Lepisosteus oculatus: one gene and its partners. The protein of the gene in region 1 interacts with the protein of each later gene in a biochemical or structural test. Links are inferred from orthologs where the notes say so. Each region holds a gene or a part of one and is shown on either strand. Other genes may lie near its edges.

The links.
Region 2: the proteins of map1lc3a (region 1) and phb2b form a complex in vitro, tested with the Homo sapiens proteins (2 studies listed by BioGRID). The link is inferred for Lepisosteus oculatus from reciprocal best matches to the Homo sapiens genes MAP1LC3A and PHB2.
Region 3: the proteins of map1lc3a (region 1) and atg7 form a complex in vitro, tested with the Homo sapiens proteins (2 studies listed by BioGRID, with this or other methods). The link is inferred for Lepisosteus oculatus from reciprocal best matches to the Homo sapiens genes MAP1LC3A and ATG7.

Annotation. Positions count from the first base shown.
Region 1 is NC_090711.1:2,773,328-2,780,693, forward strand, and holds the start of map1lc3a (microtubule-associated proteins 1A/1B light chain 3A), read left to right. Parts: upstream 1-4,357; 5' UTR 4,358-4,475; coding exon 4,476-4,515; intron 4,516-5,855; exon of another isoform or gene 5,856-5,961; coding exon of another isoform or gene 5,962-5,965; intron 5,966-7,366. Other genes in the region: dynlrb1 (dynein light chain roadblock-type 1), read left to right, coding at 481-556, 1,384-1,551, 2,561-2,604. UniProt on the Homo sapiens protein: Ubiquitin-like modifier involved in formation of autophagosomal vacuoles (autophagosomes). While LC3s are involved in elongation of the phagophore membrane, the GABARAP/GATE-16 subfamily is essential for a later stage in autophagosome maturation.
Region 2 is NC_090708.1:1,898,769-1,906,040, forward strand, and holds the start of phb2b (prohibitin-2b), read left to right. Parts: upstream 1-4,193; 5' UTR 4,194-4,280; coding exon 4,281-4,301; intron 4,302-7,058; coding exon 7,059-7,188; intron 7,189-7,272. Other genes in the region: uncharacterized protein, read right to left, coding at 1,136-1,408, 1,565-1,744, 1,881-2,044, 2,188-2,470.
Region 3 is NC_090699.1:61,988,036-61,995,424, forward strand, and holds the start of atg7 (ubiquitin-like modifier-activating enzyme ATG7), read left to right. Parts: upstream 1-4,370; 5' UTR 4,371-4,462; intron 4,463-6,084; exon of another isoform or gene 6,085-6,171; intron 6,172-6,662; exon of another isoform or gene 6,663-6,814; intron 6,815-7,389. Other genes in the region: hrh1 (histamine H1 receptor), read left to right, coding at 1-1,451. UniProt on the Homo sapiens protein: E1-like activating enzyme involved in the 2 ubiquitin-like systems required for cytoplasm to vacuole transport (Cvt) and autophagy.

The DNA of each region.
Region 1 (7,366 bases):
CCTGGTAACTTAACTGTGTTCTGCGTTGACAGGGCACGGATAAGCTGCATTTAACTGTTTCAGTTCACTGAACTGATTATATGAATGTCAAATTATAGAAATTCCGCTTAAATGAGTAGGAGTAGGAGTACTGTACGTTTGCTTGGACAGCGTAGCGGTGCCGTGGTGTGAGGTGTGACAGCACTACCTCGAACAGTGTAGCTCGTTCAAATCAGTTGCCTTTGTTGAACTGTACGGTTAGGCTGAAGCTTGGCCGATCTGGACCCTTTTCTTCTCGGGAGCTTCTGTGACCGTGTAAAACTATTCCTGTGTTTCAGTAGGTGGGCAGGTCAGTGTAAGACCCCTGGCCTGCTTTGAAGATGCACTGCAAGCTTACAGCGTCTGTTTCTCCTGCGTTGGCAACCCTGCCTCAGACTAGATAAGCTGCTGCTCACGGTGTTTGATGTGACGGTCGTTACTGATCACGGGCGTGTCTTGCAGGCTGAAGTGGAGGAAACCTTGAAGAGGATTCAAAGTCAGAAGGGTGTCCAGGGGATCATCATCGTTAATGCAGAAGGTACGTGCGCCCACCTGCACAGGTATCATAGTGGTCAGCATTGCTGTGGCGGAGTCCTGGGCTTGGTTCCAGACCTGGGGTGCTGTCTGTGTGGAGTTTGTATGTTCTCCCCAGGTTTGCGTGGGTTTCCTCTGGGCGAGTCCACATGCTCGTATGTTCACTAGCTTCTGGGAAAACTGGCCCTGGCTTGAGTGTGTCTGCCCTACGATGGACTGGAGTCCTGTCCAGGGTGTACCCTGCCTCGTGGCCACTGCTGGGATAGGCTTCAGCTCCCCACACTTCGGAAAGCACTTAGAAAAGGGTCTGTTTTCTTGACTTGCTCAAGTGGGAATCGCCAGTTGTTTTTAGGGCCGTGAGCCCTGGAGAGGGTGGAGGCTGGCAGACAGGCCCCCCTGGAGAGCCGTTCAGCATCACATCTCTCGCACCCGTGTCCCTGCAGGCTGAGGCAGAGCCCGAGAACGCTAGGGCTTCAGGGGAGGCTTTTACTATTCTTAAACGCGGGCCACAAAACGTGCCCAGTGGGTTTCTGACCAAGTTTGATATCCTACGTGTTCACAGGGGTTTTTCCCCCAGTATACTCCCACAGTCCAAAAACATCCTGGCAGGTTAATTGGCTTCTGGAAAAACTGGCCCTGGTGCGAGTGTGGGCACCCTGTGATGGACTGACGTCCCACCCAGGGTGTACCCTGCCTTGCACCCCTTGCTTGCTGCGATAGGCTCCAGCTCCCCTGCAGCCCTGAACTGGACAAAGAGCTTAGAAGATGGGTGGACTTGAAAGGCGTGCGCCATGCATCCCCCACCTCACTCCCTCTTGCCCCTGCTGGTAGGGATCCCCATCAAGTCCACGCTGGACAACTCCACCACCGTGCAGTACTCGGGGCTCATCCACCAGCTGGTGATGAAAGCGCGGAGCACCGTGCGGGACATCGACCCCCAGAATGACCTCACCTTCCTCCGGCTCCGCTCCAAGAAAAACGAAATCATGGTCGCCCCAGGTAACCAGATCAAAAGCATTTAAAAACAAACATTTATTAGTCCAATCGCTGTTTGCATCTGTTTTGCTAGATTGATTTTAAGAGCTGGGTGACGTGTGCAGCAGTATGTGGAGTTATATACAGTGTATGCCTTCGCTGAGATTTATAAAACTGGGCTCATCGGCCCCCCCTACAAGCACCCTGTAATTGTGTGGGGTTTAGTGGCCAGTTGGATCACGATACAGGAAGGGAATAACAGAAAAAATAAATCTTCACTGCATTATGTTAGTAGCTGTTTTTTGTGTTTCTATGCTCCACGCACGCTGATGTGTAAAATTCCTCGCCCAGCGTCCTGCTCACTGACCACTGTGGGGGTGCGAGCAGGAGCAGCAGACAGGTATTAGCGTAGCTCAGCCTGAGGGCTCTCTCACCCAGAGTGCAGATCGAGCCCCTTGTCCGAGCCGGATAGAGAGGGCGTTATTCAGGCAGGAGAGCCCTGTGACCTCCAAGGTGATTCTCACAGAGGTTTCAGCTCTGGCAGGTAGGCAGGTCCTCACTCTCTGTGCAAACAGAAAAGCAGCAAAATGAGCAGAAACAGACTGGACATTAGAAATAGTTAAAACGAAACCCAACTTTTTTTTAAATGTTTTTTTTAACGTTTCATGTTTAATGTTTACAATTTCTTGCATTTGGAATGTGTCTTTTCACATACCCCAGCTTTTTCTCCATGGAAACACAGACAGGGAGAGAAGCTTGGGGTCAGAGCGCAGGGTCTGCCATTGTACGGCGCCCCTGGAGCAGTTAGGGTTAAGGGCCTTGCTCAGGGGCCCAACGGAGTAGGATTCCTCTGCCGGCCGCGGGATTTGAACCGGCAACCTTCCAGTCACAGGCGCAGATCCTTAGCCACAGAGCCACCACTCCGCCCTTATGTCATGCAGGGGGTCATTGGGAGTGCTTTAAGGCAATAATATTTTAAGCTTGTTTTGCAATGTTCAGTAAAATGATAATCTTTGTTTTTTCCTTTTGACAGATAAAGAATACTTCCTCATTGTCGTCCAGAATCCTACAGAATAAGAAGACCTATTCCTTTTATTAAGTTATTTTTTTTATTTACAAGGCCAAATGGTGTATGTCGAAAACTGTGCCAGTGTCGGATAAATTGTTCTAGGTTTATCTTGGAGAAAAAAGCATAAATTAGTTTCATCACAAGTATTCATTTTGTGCAAAGAGTGTAATTCAGTGCAATAAGAAGTAAACCTTTACTGCAGCTCCATTCCTCTGGTTCCCAAGCTATACATCATAACTATACAATGAAAGAGAATGTATTCTCCATGCACATGCAGCAGAAAGCACAGGCTAGGAACTGCTGCTGGTTTAAAGAGTTGGAAACAAAATCACTGAAGTGCAGGGGTGAAGACTGACCAGGTCCAGTGTGATCCTGTGTTTAATTCCGGACTGCTTCCATGAAGGCCTGCAGCATTAATGATTAAGCATCCTGCACTGTCCTGCTCAAAAACTGGTCACTATATTTTCAAAGACGTTATCAATGTAGAACTTGTTCTTATTTACATTTAAACAATCTTTTAGTTTAATAAAACTTGAGGGGTTGGAAAGCTGTGGTTTTCCCCAAAGGGAGCTGGCTTGCAGAGGGTGTTTGAATTTGATTTGTATTTGTTTCCATTCATTTCCTGCACCTGTGAGCTTAAAAGGCATCTGCAGCTCAACACGGTTTTTACTGTGGCTTTTGGGAAGAGTAGATTCCACTACGTGTACAGTGCTTTTCCTCCGATGTAAGGCCGTTTAAAATCTCTTGATTTCTTCAGCTGACTAAAGACAGCCACCCACTGGATGAGTGCAGAAAAGACTCATCTTGGCTCTTGCCCCTACTGTGTTTTGGACCATGAAGCACCCTTTTCCTTTACAGAACTTGTTCCATACTATATATTTAAGAAAGTCATGTGTCAATTTAAAAGCATCTAATAAACTTCTCATGGTGGCAATATGTGCAAAGAGTCTGTATGTTTGCTTGGGTTTCCTCCCACAGCCCAGAAACCTGCTGCTAGTGTGAGTGTTTTTCTGCGTGCCCTGTAATGGCCTGGTATGTACATGCACTCTCTGCACTGAATTAGACTGATCAGCACAGCCCTCTGGATTACACAACACTTAATGCATGTCAAGCAGAAATAATGATTCAGTTTTCACAGCCAGGATTGTATCAGGAACACCCAGTGAGGGATCCTACAGTACCCCCCCCCCACCAGCTTTCCTTTGCCTACATGTCCAGTAGAAGTGTACATTTTAATTGCAACACAAAACTACTAAAAACAAATAAAAGCCTCCTTAATGCATAAAAGTAACGACCTCAGTTTTTTGTTTTGAATATCTAAAAGGTAATTTACCAGGAGGCCATTCAGCTCATACAGCTTCTTTGCTAGTTAGTAGTTAATGGATCCTGGGATTTTATCGAGGTGTTTATTGAAAGAGGTCACGTGGTCAAGGCCTATACCCTGGATGAATCAATCAGTTAGTCCAACACTCCCACCTACCCCGTCTCTAAAGGTCAAGTTTAAACGTGTCACACTTCAATAAACTGGGTGTAAAAACCAAACATGGGCAGTGTTATCAGTAAGGGGCATCATTGCGGGTCTTATTGTTGCCTTTTAAATTTCTGTCTCCAACCCCATTAAATGATTAAGTACTACGAGAGCACCTAAAATGGATGAAAGGGATTCATGAAACACGTCGAGCCGATTCTGTCGGCTAAACACTCCTCCACCCTCTCCACAACACGGCTCCTTCCCCTTTAAGAGTCTCCGGCTGACGTCATACTGCTCGGCTCGCTACACTGTCACAAAAGCGAGCTGGGCAGACAGAGATCCGAGCCCCAGGTTGTCCAGTCATCTGTGCTTGAGACGGGCGTTAAACCGGACTGATCCCTCACAATAATGCCTTCCGACAGACCTTTCAAACAAAGGAGGACGTTTGGTAAGTCATAAACAGTTTATTTGCAAATTAGGACAATGTATTCCCCACCACCACTATCATTGATTACCAGATGTCGTGTCGCTCAGTCTTTTGTTTACCAAACAAAAAAAACAACAATCTAGAAACCTCGTCATAAAGACGGCCTGTCGGGCACTTCTGTTGTGCCCGACCTGGGTGGGTTGTTTTTCTGCCGTGTACGTGAAGCGGGCGTGAGCGTGTTGAAAGGTGTTTTTTTTCTCGCGTCCGTGTAGTTTATTAAAAACGCGGAGCGATCCGGAAGGCCGTGCGTTCACATCGCCGCTCTTGAATCCGTTAGTTGAATACCGGCAGGACCGAACAAGTTGGCATCCGTACCAAACCTCAGTTATGGGCTCTGGTGTTCAGGGACGGAGGATTTTAAAGTCCCATTATTACACCAGCTTGCTGGGTGCACTGCAGGACCTCGCTCTGTGCGAGACCACTTCGGATAACGCGGCCAACAGCACCAGGTTTTGATGTCAGGTTCTTCACGAAAGAATTGGATGATGTAGTATCGCTGCCACAGGGTGGTCCGAGGTCACAGTGTGCTTGGCGTCACGGGCACCCGGTTTCGGGAGTGGGGTCGGCACCCCACGGTGGGGAAGATGGGGAGGTACAGTGAAGTTACATATAATACACTGTTTAATATGGGTCCGCGTATGAGATACAGATCGGATACATGGTGGCAAAAGAACAGCAAATTGCATAAAATGGAATCATTCTCTATATCGGAATGTATTACGTATATGACATACCATACATCAGATTAACCCAAAGAACGTTTTCATCATTCTTGTTAGGACGTTAAAAGCGATTCAGTTTTACGGACTTGATTTCATAAATCAGGATTTTCTAATAAGCGGATATTGACCTGCAATCCCGGCTATGTCGCATCTTAAGAGTATTCAACAGGTGTCTTTAACAGTTCGACAACCTGTGCCGCCTTCAGCGTGCACGCCTTACCGCGAGTATCCCCCCGCCTTTTCACTTCAAAATGAATCAAGGCAGGCTTGTGTGAGAATGCGCACCTCCAAAAACAGCGCCGTACCGCGCAGCCACGCAGGTTAACGCGGGATGTTACCCGTCTCGGAGAGATCGTCAATGTGCTTCCAGACGAAAAGCTGCTCGTCTGCAGAAATCTCCCAACAGGAAGGTCTCAAGGCGACCCGACGGCCCCGCGTGTTTCCGGCGCGATGGGGGCGGAGCTCCGGGGCGGGCGGGCTCCGTCTTCAGGCAGGACCACACCCCCTCACCTCCGCGAAGCTTGGACTTTTACTACAGTAAACATCTTTGGGACGGTGCGTGCTGGATTCCGAATGCCAGCTGACCCCAGGTCAAGAATGTTAAAGGGTGATCCTCATTACGGATGTCTTGCAAAGAACCCGTGCATATGAAGAGGATGCAGGGCTTGACAGAAAAAATTGCAGTATGGGTAAGGGCAAAATAAGAGCAATAGGCTTAGGAAATCCTCCAAATAGAAAAACGGGTCAATATTTTTTTTTCTTATGACGGTATAATCCAACAGTGCTGAGGGATAATTAAGCATTCTATTTCATTTAGCACACAACTTCGGTTAAATTTACAGGTTTTCATTTAGAAGCTGTGGGGGGAAACCATCCTCTACCTTAAGGCGTCCTGTCGATTAGGGACTTGTAGCTGACAGCCGGTATCGGAGCAACACGGAACTAATTGGTAAAGGAGAGAAAAGCCCCTCCCTCCTTACTTTAAATAGACTCGTACAGGCTCCGCCTCAGGTGGGTGTGAACAATGAAGGGCTTGCCGATCCTGGCACGCGAAGACGACACCTGCTGCTCTTTAGCCCAGCTGTTCTTGGTTGAAGCAACACCTTTCCCGGCTGGAATGCGTGGTATTTCTTCTCCACTCGGAAGGGTGGTGTCTTATTCCACTCATGAAATGCAGTGGGCAGAAAGCACCCTCCAGCATGGTGTTTAAGAGCCGAAGAACAATCCAGAGGTTCAAGTGAACCGTGTTGATACCATCGGTGAAGGGCTCAGTTCTGGGACCATGGGCTCGACTGGAACAGAACTCCAGGACCAGGATGTAATTTGCGCCCCTGGTGGGCGTGACCCTAGCAGACATCCCAACTTGGAAATTGGGATTTCGGGGGTCGACCCCTAGTTACCCCTGTTTGCCCTCTCGGGGGGCTTTGTGCTTGTAGCTCCTCTTCGCTGTCATTATGCACAGTGAAGTCCCGTGGTCAGACTGTACTATAATGTGATCCACAGATGAAGGGGAGGTCACTGCTTGGGAGTGTTGTAATAAAGAATGGGGAGTTTTGCCGGTTATCCTGTTCCTGGTGGAAAACTGCAGTTCAGTCAGTGTGACTGGACTCTCCGCTCCGACCCCTTGCTGATCTTTAAGGATGACTGCCTGTTCTAACCTAATAGGTTTCGTTGGAGCTCTTTAATTATATTTAGTTAGAGGTTGTCTTTCAGCTTTTTCTTAAGTCATTTGTTCTCCACCTACTGAGTAGAAGAAAAGCTTTCAAAGGTTCTAACCAAGCAAGTTGTTGGTTCCTCGTTAAGGACTAATTAAACAGAGAGCTCAGCTGCAATAGCAGGTTCCTTTGTCTCGGAGTGGGAACTCTGGCCTAGACCAGTCCTGGTGCTGTTTATGTAGCAGAAAATTGATTTTTCTCATTTGCCCACTGCTTATTTTTGTGCTGTCAGTGTTAGTGTTCGCGGTCAAAGGTCAGCCACGTCTGTGTACAGCTGTGTACTCTGATCAGGAGGATCTGTGGGCATGTAGAGACTGCCTGGCTGAACTCGTTTCGGTAGCTAACACAGGTCAGCTGACTGTTACTTGACTTTAT
Region 2 (7,272 bases), on another chromosome or scaffold:
CGGAATGTGTGGCATCCCTTTATTAGTGAGGCGACACTGTTCCTCAGAACTCGGGAGCTGGCAGAGATGAACAGAAGGGGGAGTGTCTCCAGGTCTGTCCTGCGTGGAGTCTTGTGCTTCCTGGGCCGGCTGGGGCTGGACACAGCCTCCCGAAATCTCTCCTGTCTGATGAAGGAGGGATGTGTTCATGTCCAAGACGCTGAGAATCCGAGATGACAGTTGGAGAGAAAGATTCAATTTTCCTAAAGTCTCCTACTATTTTAAGACTTGATCAAGGTAGATATGGAAATGCTTATGAATGAGGTTTCAAAATGTAGACGGTTCAGAAAATTGTATCCTCACAGCTCCTGTATCCAGACAGAATGAGTACCTTTACCACAGAATTTCTGTCCTGCTCTTACAGAACTTCGTTTTTCGAATTTTTACACAATTCGGATGTCTTGTGTTTTTTGCTGCAATACTTGGCGTGTATACATTTCTAATCCCATTGAAAGAAAAAACGTTTGAGTGATGAGTGCCCTCTTGTGGAAGCTTCAATGATCAACATTTCAGCATTATTAGGAGGCCATGACTGGTGAAGGCCTGGGGGACATTTGGCCAGGACACCGGGGTTACACCCCTACTCTTTTCGAGTAAACACCCCTGGATTTTTTAATGACCACAAAGTCAGGACCTCAGTTTTATGTATCGTCTGAAGGACAGTGCCTTTTTACACTCTAGTGCCTCTGTCACTGTACTGGGGCATTAGGACCCACACAGACTGCAGGGTGAGCGCCCCCTGCTGGCCCCACTAACACCTCTTCCAGCACCAGGTTGAGCTTTCCCAGGAGGTCTCCCGTCCAGGTAGTGGCCAGGCTCACACTGCTGGACTGCAGTGGGCTGCCATCTGGGAGCTGCGGGGTGACCGAGCAGCTGGGCTGAATGGACCCCACCTTCAGACCGGTCTCTGAGAGCGAGAGGCCACTTATAAAGAGTCTGGAGCGCAGACTGTGGCCTTGTGAGAGAACCTGCGGGTGTGAGAGAGCTGTGTCAGCAGCCAGAGCCAAACAGGGACTACACGTTCAGTTTGTGCAGAAATAAATGTTTATTTTCATGTGCTTCCTGTGGCAGCCTGTGGGGGGCGCTCTCCCTGCGCTCACAGCTTGCCCTCCCTTTCCAGGCTCGGGGCCTCGGAGCTGGGCCCGGCACTTCCGGCGGGGGCAGATTCCGCCCCCTCGGAGACGCTGGCGTCCTCGGAGTCCGGCTCCGGCTCGCCGGTCCGGACCGCCGCCCCCTGCTCCTTTTCCTCGTCTTTCTCCCAGCCCAGCGGCAGCGAGGGGACGCCGGGGGGCTGCCAGTCGAAGGCGAAGGATCCAAACATGGTGACCGGGCTGCTGGAGCTGGAGCGGCACAGGAACGGCTGGGATTCCTGGGAAACAGGGGGAAGGCCAGGAGAGACAGGTCAGGATTGGGAATACAGAACCGACCGACTGTTCTGGACTGGGTGTCTCGGCTCGGCCGTGCGCAGGAGGAGCTGGGAGGTTATGCACTGTTAGACCCAGGAGAGGTTCCGAAGGGGCTTTACTTTGTCAGAGGGTCCTGGCGCTGGGGCGGGGTCACCAACACGGGCCGGCGCCGTCTCCGGTCTGGTCCGTCTCCCCTTGGCCTGGGTGCCCACGGATCGTGGGGCCCCCGGGGGTCTCTCGTCCGCAGGCAGCGGCTCCGGGGGAGACTCTGGGGGAGACTCCGGGGGAGACTCGGGGGGCTGTGAGTTCAGAGACAGGACAGAGGAGTTGAGGAGCGTGGGGTCGGACAGGGATCGCATCCAGGCCCGAACCCTCCATTTTCAGGAGTCAGGAGTGGGATCTGGGGACTCGGCTGAGGCGGCAGGACCGACTCACCACTGTCGGGCCCCCGACGGGCTCTGGGCCGGCGTCCTCGGTCCGGTCCCCGTATTCGCCGGGCCGGACCCCCATCACTTCCTCTTCCTCGGCCCCGTCACCCCCATCTTCCTCGGGGGACCCCGGGACGGGGAGGGCGCTGGGGGGTGCCTCTGCGTCGGGGTCTGGAATTCAGCACGAGAGCAGAATGTCACTGACACGGAGGACAGAGAGAGGCTCCTGGGTAAACAAACACTGTAGCCAGGAGCCTTGGAGGAGCACAGGAGGGGGGCTGAGAGTCTTCAGGCTAATAGGAGAACCTCCTTACCGGTCGAAGTGGGGGTGGCAGGCGTGGGGGGCGCTGTGGCCGAGGTGTCGTCCTTGCGGGTGCGGGATTTGGGCTTCTCTACGGGAGAGACACCTCCGCAACAGACAAACACCGTCATCAGGTTCAGGAGGAACATAGGGAAATCTCCCTCCTCCTTCTCCTTGGCTCTTCTCCTGAGGAATTTCCTCTTCCTCCCCCTGGCGAATCTGGGCTCACTCGGGGGGGGGGGGTCTGGTGGGGTGGCAGCCAGTGGCTTGCCTGGGTCACTGTGTCGTTGACCCATAGGCAGAAGACAACACACAAATCGTATTCACGAATCAGAGTGCGATCAACTGCAACCGGTTTCTACAGGAGGCCCCTTTTATACCCCGGCGACTGGCGAGGTGGCGGGGTCTATGTGACATCCTGTATAAGAAAATTGTGATGTCCTCCCGTTGCTAGGCGGTAAAGGGATGCACTCCAGCACGTCACTAAGGGATTGTGATGTCATCGCGGCTTCCGCGCACTGCCGCTAGGCATCCTGGGATAGGGGAACACTAATTAGCTTAGCCGTTTTATAAGGCAAAAAAACGCGCAACTGATTAAAAAAGTGGTTCCTGATTCTCTGTGTATTCAATCAAAATATGAAATTTGTTTAGCTTTATTAAGTCCCATTCACCAAGCGCAGTCGTTTTTAAGCATTTAATGTGCAAATCAATGAACTGCGTCCGGTTTTCCAGCGCAGCTCTTAGGCATTAAGAGTTAGTTGAATATAGCGTTACGTTTGTCAACTCATCTGTTTACCGATCTGCGTAACATCGGGGTCGTTTTCAGAGCACCGGGGCGCTGAGAAGCGCTGCTGTGGCTGAGAGGCCAGTGAGGCTCAGTGCGGGTCACTGCGGGTCTCTCTCAAGACGCTGTAAACACAACTGTATGGGCTGACATCCAGAGTGATGTGTTTTCGCCGCTTAAACCAAAAACAAAAGTCTCTCGTTTCGCTCAATATATACAGTATATGAGAACTGGAAAAGGCATGCCCTGAAATACCCCGTCTTGTATTATTTAACGTCCAGTGAAACCTGAGGGGAAGAAGAGCTCTTTGTTTTGCTCCAGCAGGTCTCAGTTCTTAAAGCCGAAAACGTGAGAAATAAACTGGGGACGGCGCCCCAGAAACACTGGGAGGGTCGTTTGGGAAGCTACGACCAGCGGCACCAATCTTTAACATTGCTTACAGCCCAGAGACCCCGGGTCTTCTAGGTAACAGATGCCGACGTTTGTAAAAATAAAATGTGGGAGAGTCAGTTCCGCCGTTTGCTGGAAGCTTCCAAAATCGTCGAGAGTTTGCGGCGAGAAACACAGTGTTTCACCTTCGCGCTCACCGCCAGACTCCCAGCAGCAGGTCTTGTCCTGAAAACGGGGCAAAAGGCTACAAAATCGGTTCCGTCCGAATTCAAACTGCAGGAGCATCATCTGTCGTCCCAGCGTTACCGTGGGTTCAGGAGTCCGCACGAACCAGGGGAAACTACGGAGAAGCCGTGGGCGGGAGGCAGCTCTTTACACAAAGCGTGGTGGGAGTGTGGAACAAGCTGCGATCTTTGGATCAATAAGCAACAAACTATCAAATTAATCTGGTCTGGTTTTAAGTGTTCAAACCTCTATTAGGCCTTATTTTCCTTATTTTTGGGGGGTGGTTTCAGTGGACAAACACCATCCAGGTGGGGCTGCACATTGGTGGTGGTGGAGGGGATCCCCGTTACCTGTAAAGCGCTTTGAGTGGAGTGTCCAGAAAAGCGCTATAAAAGTGTAAGCAATTATTATTATTATTATTATTATTATTCATACAATTTTTGAAAAGTTATATATATTATAGTTAAGCTTATATTCGCTACAGTTAACTAGTCTATGGAAGTAACACGGGTCATCTGAATGGGATTACGTTTCGGTTTGTGCGGATTACTGAAAATCACTTCGTTCGCGAGTACGATAGAAGAAAAATAACGTCATCACGTGTCTTCTGTGGTGAACTACATTTCCCAGAGGGCCATTCTTAGGGAGCCGGAAGTGCAGTGAGTTGACCTTGCAGCGAGGCAGAGCGCAACACAGAAGCAGGCAGCATGGCGAATAAGGAGCCCAGTGTGAGTATGGAAATTACACACGTATTTGGAAATATTGCCGATTAAAACACATTGCCGTGGAGTTAGTGCTTTCCCGTGAGATAGTTACATTCTTGTTTTCGTAAAGACCGTGGCGCCAAGCTCGGTTTGATGTCATTCTGTCTGAGGCTTCATCTTTTTTTTTTTGATTAACGTGAATATGGTTTTGTTTTCCCAGAATAAACCTACCAAATAATTCAAGACGTGTGTTCCCCGAGCTTTAAGTCTATGCGTGGAATTGCAGAATAAAGTAATACTGCTGTAAATGCTGTAGAGGGATTGCTTTTTGTGCCTGGACTAACGAGGCCGTGTTAGACTTCATATTGTTGGTCACAAGAGACAGCGGATCTTGGCCGCGTACGATATGCAGGGGACTGGATTGTTTTATTTTTCAAAGCTAGTGTGTAGCATTCTGATTAACAGATATGTGATCTGAAGAGCTCGGCGCTGTAGCAACCGGTGCAATACGGCGCGTCTCGCTGGAGTCTGTGGGGGTCGGTGACATTGCATCACGCCGTCTGTAATTAGACCCTTCAGACTTCCTCTGCCTTTGACTTATCCGTGTGTCCTCAAGGAACCTGGTGTAAACGTGTTGGTTATTAACGTACCGCCGCGGCCCCAAGACAAGGAATGTTCTGGATGTAGTAAATATGGAGTCCAGCCTTGTCCGAAGAAGTCAGCGCGGCGATGCCCGGTGCCGCCACTAGGGGGAGCGCTCGCCCACAGCGGCACCTCAGCCGCTGAGTTTCATAACCTGAGCGAATGTTATTCTTGCGATGAAACTTGCGCGGTATCTGGAAGCACCGGATTTCCCACCTGTGTTTTATTTTCAAACCCAGAACGAGCCGGTTCGGAACAGACGCGCACGGCTCTGTGTCACCAGGCTGGCTGCTCCCGGGCGAGACCCGGAGGAACCGTCTTGCAATAAATATTTGTCGTGGCCGCAAATATGGGCACCCCGTGCACATTTTTTTCAAATAATGCTACACTTCTTCCAGACAAATGCTGAAATTAAAAATGTATTTCTTATACATTGTATTGCTTTGGTTTGCAGTGAAACAAACAAAAAAAGCTGAATTATGTACTAAGTACTAAGCTTATTCCACAAGAAATCCTAAAATGGCCCGGACAGTATTATTGGCACCTTCTACAAGCGTTTAGAAATAATTCTATTTCAAGCCGGTGATTCTCCTTTACTTTGGAATTGAACTCAGCTGTGGTGATTTGCAGGTGCCTGCAATATAAAAATCACTAGTTCAGCCAGTCAGAATAGAGAAAAGGACTCTTTCTCCTGTTTTGTGTCACTGTGTGGACCACAATGAGCATGGAGAAAAGAAAGACATTCTTTTGTAGCGTGGACAATCTCAAGGCTACAAGTCCGTCTCCAGAGACCTTGATGTTCCTGTTTCCACTGTATGTAATGTTATCAAGAAGTTTAAGAGAAAACTTGATCGAAGATTGTAGCGAAGGGTTGTTCGAATGGTGGAGAAAGCAGCTCGATCAGCTGCCACACAGATTCAAGCTGACCTTCAGAGCCGAGGTGCGACAGTCTCAACACGCACCCCCCCTCGCCAGCTCAGTGACCCAGGAGGACCCCGCTGCTGAGAGAGAGACATCAGGAAGCCTGACTGCAATTTGCCAAAATCCTCCTGAGAGAATGTCCTGTGGACAGATGAGACCGAACTAGAGCTTTTTGGTAAAGCACACCGCCTCTATGTTTACAGAAAACGAAATGAAGCCTTCAAGGAAAAGAACACCTTCCCTACAGTGAAACATGGAGGAGGTTCAGGGATGTTGTGTGGTCGCCTTGCTGCCACTGGCGCTGGATGCCTTGAGCGTGTGCAAGGCGTCTTGAGATCAGGAGAACACCGGGGCATTCCGGAGCTCAATGTCATACCCAGAGTCAGAAAGCTGGGTCTCCGTCGAAGGTCATAGGTCTTCCAGCTCAACGATGACACCGGACACTTCAAAAAGCACTCGGGAAAGGGGCAGGACAAAACACTGGACTGTTCTGGAGGGACCAGCAATGAGTCCAGATCTAAACCCGTTGGAAACCTGTGGAGAGATCTGACAACAGCAGCTGGGAGAGGGCACCCTTCACACCTGGCAGGCCTGGAGCAGGTGGCACGAGAAGGGTGGGCCAGACTGCCAGTACAGAGGTGCAGGAAGCTCATCGGTGGCCATAGGAGGCGCTTGATTGCAGATATTGTGACACAAGGCTGTGCTACCAAATATTGAGTCTGGGCCGTCAATAATTTTGTCAATGCAATGCCGTTTCTTTTTATTTTCTGATTTAAAAGGATAGATTAAGTCCTGAATCAAAAACAACGGTTCTGTAATAGTAACAGTGAAATAAAGAACTGTGGAGACCACATAAGTTGGTCAGTTGCAACTTATTTTTAGAGAAAACTGTGAGTTATTTGCCAAAAGTGCAAGGGTGCCGATGTTTTTGGCCACGACTGTACCTTGTCTCTAGAAATGAAGTGCAGCATCTTAGCGGTGGTAGTTTTTAACGCAGGACTAAATCCAATCAAAGGCTGGTGGTCTGTTTTCAGAAAGGTGCGGCGTGGTGTGTAAAAGCCGAAAGGGCTCCGTCTTCCCACACGGTCCTGACAAGAGATCCTCAGGGATGGAGTTGACCCCCCCCGGTGTCAGACTTGACTCCCCCCCCTTGCCTGTGGGGGCAGTAGGACGCCAGACAGGCGTGCTGGCTAAGCCTGTGCTCTCTTTGCCCCGCAGAGGTTTGTGCAGCAGCTCAGGGACATGGCCAGCCGCATGTCCTCGGGCTCCAGGGGAGCCGGCATGGGCCTCAAGCTGCTGCTGGGAGCCGGGGCTCTGGCCTACGGGGTCAAAGAGGCCACATACACAGGTGCGTATGGGCGCGACAGCGAGAGCAGAGAGGCGTCTGCAAGCCTGTCAGCTCTGATGGCTGGGGATGGGGCCGGCAGGCAGG
Region 3 (7,389 bases), on another chromosome or scaffold:
GAACGCTGCACACAGTTGGGAACCTCTATATTGTTAGCTTGTCTGTAGCAGATCTTATTGTGGGTGCTACTGTGATGCCCCTCAGCATTGTGTATTTGCTGGAGAAAGAGTGGAGACTAGGCAACATGGTTTGCCAGTTTTGGTTAGTCATGGATTATGTAGCCAGTACAGCTTCCATCTTCAGCCTCTTTATTTTGTGTGTGGATCGGTATCGCTCTGTGAGGCAGCCACTTAGATATCTCAAATATCGGACCCGGGCCAGGGCCAGTGTTATGATATCAGGGGCCTGGCTTTTGTCAATGACATGGGTCATACCCATATTGGGATGGCGGACCTTTTCGGACGTCGATCCACAGCCCGAAACGGAAAACAAATGCGACACGGATTTTCGATTTGTTACCTGGTTTAAAGTCCTTACTGCAGTTTTGAACTTCTACGTTCCCTCCGTGCTGATGCTGTGGTTTTACGCACAGATATATATGGCAGTGAGAAAGCATTATCGGCAAAGGGAGATCATCAAGGAGTCGAAGCCCTCTTCTTACAACAGGAATTGTTTCGCTAACAATTGTAAAATATCTGGGAAGAGGCGTAAGACTGATGTAGTCAGACAGGAAGAGAGTGCTCCTCAGGAATCTTCCCACTTTGAGGGTTTGATTGATCAGTACAGCCTCGGACAGCAATACTACCCAAAAGACATAAATGAGGGTATAGAGACCTGGGTTGAGAAAAACACAACTAACTGCTGCTACCAGGCTGCTTTATTCACTATCCCCAAACATCAAAAGCAGCTGCAAGAAGACATGTTCCTGACAGATAAAGAAAAGCACCCGCTTGCTTCTCTTGGTACACAGGGGGACACAAACGAACAGCATCTGGCCATGGGTCCTGAGACACCTTTGAAGGTGGCCTGCTTGCCTCTGGGCATTCTGCAATCAGAGAATGAAGATGTCAATGCAATGTTTGTGTCAGTCAGTGACTGTAATTTAATTGTGCCCAACTCTGTCGCTGGCGTCTGCGAGATAACAGACATTTCTGATGTTCAGAGGTTTGCCACAGTCCTGTGTAAAGATGAGTTCTCACATCCTGAGCCTCCATCGTGGTCTCACAGCAGTAGCCCCAAGGTAGATACTGCCAGCGTGAATAACCTGAAGCAGTCTTGGCAAAAGTTCTGCTCCCAGTCCAAACAGTATGTTCAGAGCCTTCGCATCAGTAAGGAACGAAAAGCTGCAAAACAGTTGGGCTTTATCATCGCAGGTTTTATGGTGTGTTGGATCCCTTACTTTGTAACATTTATGGTAATGGCCTTTTGTAAAACGTGTGTTCATCATGATCTGCATATGTTCACCATCTGGCTAGGATATATCAACTCCACATTAAATCCTTTCATTTATCCCCTCTGCAATGAAAATTTCAAAAAAATCTTTAAAAATATACTCCATATTAATTCCTAATAGTTTAAAGGATTTTTTCCACGTACCACTGGATGTGCATTATCATGTTTGATATTACGATAGTTCATATCAAATCAACCCAAACCTCCCTACAAGTCCTTTCAATTTCTCTTGAAATTACCCTCTGTAATTCTCAGATCATTTCCAAAACATCTTAAATGACAAAGGAATCAGGACTGTTTCAGCATTCTGAATGTAAAAGGAAACTATTTCAGGACTAATAGCAATACATATTTTTTTCAATTTTACTATTCTGAAATGAGGAACCTATTTTACGCAATTCAGATGTTTCTGTGTAAAAATAATCATGCTAATTAAAGTCTTTCTCCAAAAGAAAGTTCCTTCAACAATGTGTGTGAGACCTACGGTGGTGGGTCTTGTTCTTGTTGTGCAGTACAATGACATCTTCCCCATGTGTTCACAAAAGATTAAAAGAGCATAAAGACTTTCATTGCCTTAGATTAGTACTATCAACTTAGTCATCACCCTAAAATAACCTCTGGAAAACATTTTTACTTATTAGCATTTCAATGAGCTTCTATTCCAGTCTGAAAGAGGCCTTCTTGCTATTCAAGTTAGTGTTTATGTGAAAAGTATTCATCCATGTTTTGAAAGCAAATCTTAGATCACAGACCTTTTATGTCGAAAACAGGTACCACAGTTTCTGCTATTGATGTTGACAGCATGAAACATAGTGGCCTTTTACATTTCCACACAGAAAGAATTGTATAGTATTGCTCCTAGTGTTATGTGCGTCATTTTGAAATAATTTATTTTGTAATTCGATGTTAAAGGTGATAGTCATTTAATCACTAATCAATAAATCCTTGTATTCATTATCTTAAAGAAATATTTTATTTTTAGATTTATGAATGAACAAGCTGCCCTGCCATTTAAAAATTAAAACATACTGTACCAATTAAAGGCTATTTGATTGGAAATTTACTGGAATCCTAATTTCTCTCAAACCAAAGAACTATATAAAGAAGGACTAGTGATTCATTTGTTTGTTTCAGTATTCTCAGTATGTAAATATTTTTTTTTCCTTCTCCTTGTAGGCAACACTGGACATTGGATATACTGTATATGAAGCAAATCTTTTGTATTTTCCAATAACTATCTTATATTCATTACAGAACAGACAAATGTTTTAAAAAGTGGTTTACGTGTTTCATATTAACTTCATGTTTGGTTGAAAATGGAACTGTGAATTTGAAACAACATGCAACCTTTGTGTTTTATTCAAAGATCTAATGTAGAATCTACTAGTGTTTGTATCTAAAAACAACGTCTTAAATTTATGACTCATGCTATTTATTGTTCATTTTATAAAAATATTTGTTAAAGTTTGCTGGATCAAATTAATGCCTTTATTTATGTGTCGAGTAAATTGTGTATTACACTGTGCTGGCTGTATTTACAAAGTAATCTATTATTTAACTAAACAACATTGTTTTTCTTTGTCGTAGTATTTTGATACATTTTCCACATCCATTGACGGCGCACTTTATTCAGAAATGTAAAATGTTTCAGTAACATGTTATTTTAATTCATGCCTGTTTTGTTAAAGAAGTGACAGATTTAAATTTGTTTTAAATAATTGACAAAAATAATCCTTCAGAACAGAACTTTATAATTTGCAGGCCAAAAGCAGGAAAAGTCAAACAAATTTGTAAATACTGCACATTTACTACAATGGACTAGCGACCGATCTGAGGTATACCCCACCTTGAATCCATTATTTGCAGGTACCAACTCCATTGCAAACCTAAATTGGATGAAGTAATAAGAAAATGATGGATACCACAGTCATATATCATGTAACAATATCAGTAATGGTTACTAGTACTGTAATAAACTATTACAACATCAATTCTGTATTTGTTTTTCAACGCATATGAAAGGTTATCTTAGAGAAATACTATATTTCTATCAAGGAATGTAGGGCACTATTACAAGAAAATATATGATTTTGGCTTTACTGTTACAGTGAAAAGGAAATGGCAAAACACATTATACAGAGATGTAACCGAAATATTGATAAAGAAAGGGCTTATATTTCCCTGCAACTTACAGTATTTGGGATCTGCAAGATTGTTTTAATAACATATTTAGATATAGTATCAAGATTAGTGTTTTTTTCTCAACAGGACTAACTACCAAGCAAATCAGTTTCAAGTGTTTGTAATGTCCAAATACATCAAAACCTCCAAAGTTCAAAGACATAAAAACAGTAAACAATTATGTAACCTTCAGTCACACTACCCATGTTTAAGATGATTCAGCAGTCATTTGTAATGCCCAATAGAGTCAAATCAACAAAACTCACTGAACTACGTAAAACTTAAGAACTTCTGTCTGGACATACAGTAAAAGAGCAAAGTCTTAATCTCTCTTTGTAGAGACAATAGGCTCATTCAGTTCAAGAACGCCTTTGGAACCAGTACCAAATTGACTCAGTACCAAATGCTCCTTTCTCAATGGAAGATGTTTGTGTTTTTTTAGAATTTGTAGCTTATTCTACAAACATTTGGGTCCACTGACCATTGCTCCTGAAGACTGACTGCAATATGAAAGTGTGCAATTCAGAGAAAAACTTAAGGACACGACACAATATTGAGCACCAAGTCACAGCTAAATAACATTCCAAACACCTTGGATAAGCAAAAGCTTAAATTAAACATTGACAAAAAATGAAAACGGACAAAATAAGTAGCAGACTCTTATAGCTTTCTTTTTTTGTTGTCATCATCCACTACACATCTTGTATCTCTTAAGAGCTGGGTTTCTCAAGAGTCCAGAGGTTATACATTCAGAGGGGGAAATATTTTGTGGTCTCATAAAAGTATGTTTTCAAGCATGGCTGTGGAATGTACAGTGGCACTTATATCAATACCATGTAGTACCAGTAAGATGTATTAGTAGTATGGTATATCATGAATACAATTGGTGATACCACGGTGTACAAGATTTGACAAGGTACAATATGAAGAACTATGGTACAGTATATGGTAGGTACAATTGTCTTCTTTAAATTCTAGTTATAACAAATGTATATTTTGTAACAATTGTAAACATGCTTTCTAAAGCAAAAATGCAGGCTTGTTTCAGAGGCTTCAAAGCTATTTCTCATCTGTTCCTAATTAAACATTTATTTTCAGACATGGTGCATGAAAACCATAAATTATTTTTAATTTAATTAAATACTGATTATTTTTAAACAAAAAAAAATGTGTGAATTCAGTTTGCTAACAAGGTATCACCTTGTGAATCAGTCCTGTGGCCCTACTGCACTTAACCGAGCTCATGGTCCACAGTGAAAAGCAGTATGCAAACAGATGTATTGAAATGCTTATGGACTTACAACACAGTACTTTATGTACAGAGTTTCTAAGTTTTAGCAGCTTTTAATACTCAAGATCATGCCATTATTCTAATCCAGGATAATGAGGAGATGGACAGTTCCTTTCTTCAGACGTTTTTTTTTGTGCCCAACATTAACTCTATCAACAGGTTAGTTAACTCTATTCATATGGGAATAGTCATGTTTAAATACATTGTACAGTAAGTTATTAAATCTATGATAAATGTGATCATGCAGTATACTAAAATATGTTTGTTCTGCATGTATTTAAAAAGACAAATTGTGTGGTTTTGTGTGATTCTGTAGATTTAACTTAAAATGCTATATATATTTCTTTTTACAACAAGCAAAAAACAAGACAATGTCACAACTAAACTACTGTATTCAGTGGTGGCAGATGTGAGGGGGGGATTCCATCAGGAGATAATATTTTCGTTCTCAAAGTTTCGTTGTGGTGCCCATCACAGCCAGCTTATATTTGAACTGCTTGTAAATAAATAATTAAATGTAATATGTTTAATGACTAAATCTGAGAAATTACTCAGGTAACTGACAAATTGCCTAACATGGTTTCATGAATATTTGAAAGATATTAGACATGTTGCTTAACAATAGGTAACTCTCATATCCATAGTACAACAACAACACTGTACCCACTAATTATTATTCAATTATTGCCAGTAGAATACAGTATAAACTGTTTAAGATTTATGCAGTAATAAACAGATCTCAATGGGCTTTTGAACGTTTTCTGAACTAGAAGATCTTGGTCACTGGTAGATACCAGATGAACCTTTTCTACTACAATTTCCACTAGGGCATATGTTAAATTGATTAACGTAATACCAATAAATTGTTTTTTAACAGGCTTAGACTTGTCACAGAGAAAAGAACAGATCAAGGCCGATTCGTTTTCAATGGCGCTGCTGAGCAATTACTGTAGTTCCTAGCATGGACGCTCAGGACTGGTGCGTCTGATGAACAGGCACCAAAAATGCAGTTTGAGTCTCCAGTTCAACTCGTTCTCAGTATAGCCAGACTAGAAAAACCACATCACTCCATGCACTGGTCATGGGAATTTTGAAATCTGTTTAGGATATTTTTTGCGGGAAAACCAATCACAAAATATCGTTTGCTCGTCGATTGCTGCAGTATGAAACAGGTTTAAATCTTTCATGCGGCACCACGCTTTATTTATCGATATCATGTTGGGATCCATTTTGTATTAAACCAAGAAAAACGATTCTAGTTCCATGTGAGGCAACTCACCTTATAGTTCGCTGCGTTGCTTCGTGGGAGGTAACATTACTATTTTAGCTACAACAGGGAGAGTTCCTTCTTATCAGAATGAAAAGGAATGGTGCATACCAGTTTTTCTCTGTTTTTTCGTGCTTGGCTGTCTGCGCTTTTTTGTTTCTGTTTTGGTTCTTTGTTTTTTATACAATAGTTAACGCACCGTAAACTGTATTTAAATGCAATGCCTTAGTGCAGTAAGTGGTTTCCACGGTCGACTTCTGTGGATGAAAATATTGATTATTTTGCATGCAACACTAATCTATGTAAGTGGTGAAACAAACAGATAGCTATAATGGCCAGGCTTCGTGTATTTACCCTGTCTACCTTGTTAGCTAGATTCAGTTTAGTTTCTTGATTTTTTTGGATTTAAAGATTTACGTAAGTTATTGCTAACATTTTGGCTTTCATTTTGTAATGCAATTAAATGTAGACGATATCTACTGGATTGTTATTATTTAGGTGTTGGAAAAGCTTTTTGTAGTAAATATGTGAAGTTTGTTAATAATTTCACATTCCTAGTTCTGCAGACGCCTGTACTATAATAAATCAGAAAGGATTATACATTTGGACGCTGTAATTTGTTGGAAATTCGTATCACTCCCACAACACTGGCGTAACTAATACATTACGTGCATTCTTTGCGTACGTCTGACGTCACTCTAAGAGCGTCCGGTCACAAGTGTCGAAGGCGGAAGTAGCTTTGGTAAGTATGCAGGTTGGAGCATTTGTTTTTTGGTCTGGGTACATAACAAAATTATACTTAGTAAAGTTTTTTCATCCAGCTTCCCTGTAGTCGGAATGATATGCCTTCTCTTCAGAACACTTGGCTATCTAATAAACATGATTAATAAAATATATGTGATGATTTCTTTTCGAGTCCAAGTTGAAGTTACTCCTTTTCATAATGAAAAGCACATAGTGTTGGACTGCTTTCTGTAAATTCTGCTAAATATTCTACGTTTTTTTTAGGTTAAATCTTATGTTTATGATATGAATTTAAATGATAAGGTGAGCTATATATGTGTCACGTTACAGCTACGTAGCTCAAAGCTGTTGGATATTCATTTTTCATTAAAGCCTAGGTCATTACCTGATTTAACCTTATTCTTCCCCGCCTCATTTGGTAAGTGTGGAGTATGTTAAGGATGGATTCTGATGAAAAATAATTACCAAGAAAACAATGCCAGCATGCGTCTTTATCAGAAAGTAAAACAGGCAAGGTAACGTGGAAATCCAAACTCTTCATTGTGTTATAGAGCAACAATATGTTACTGTTTC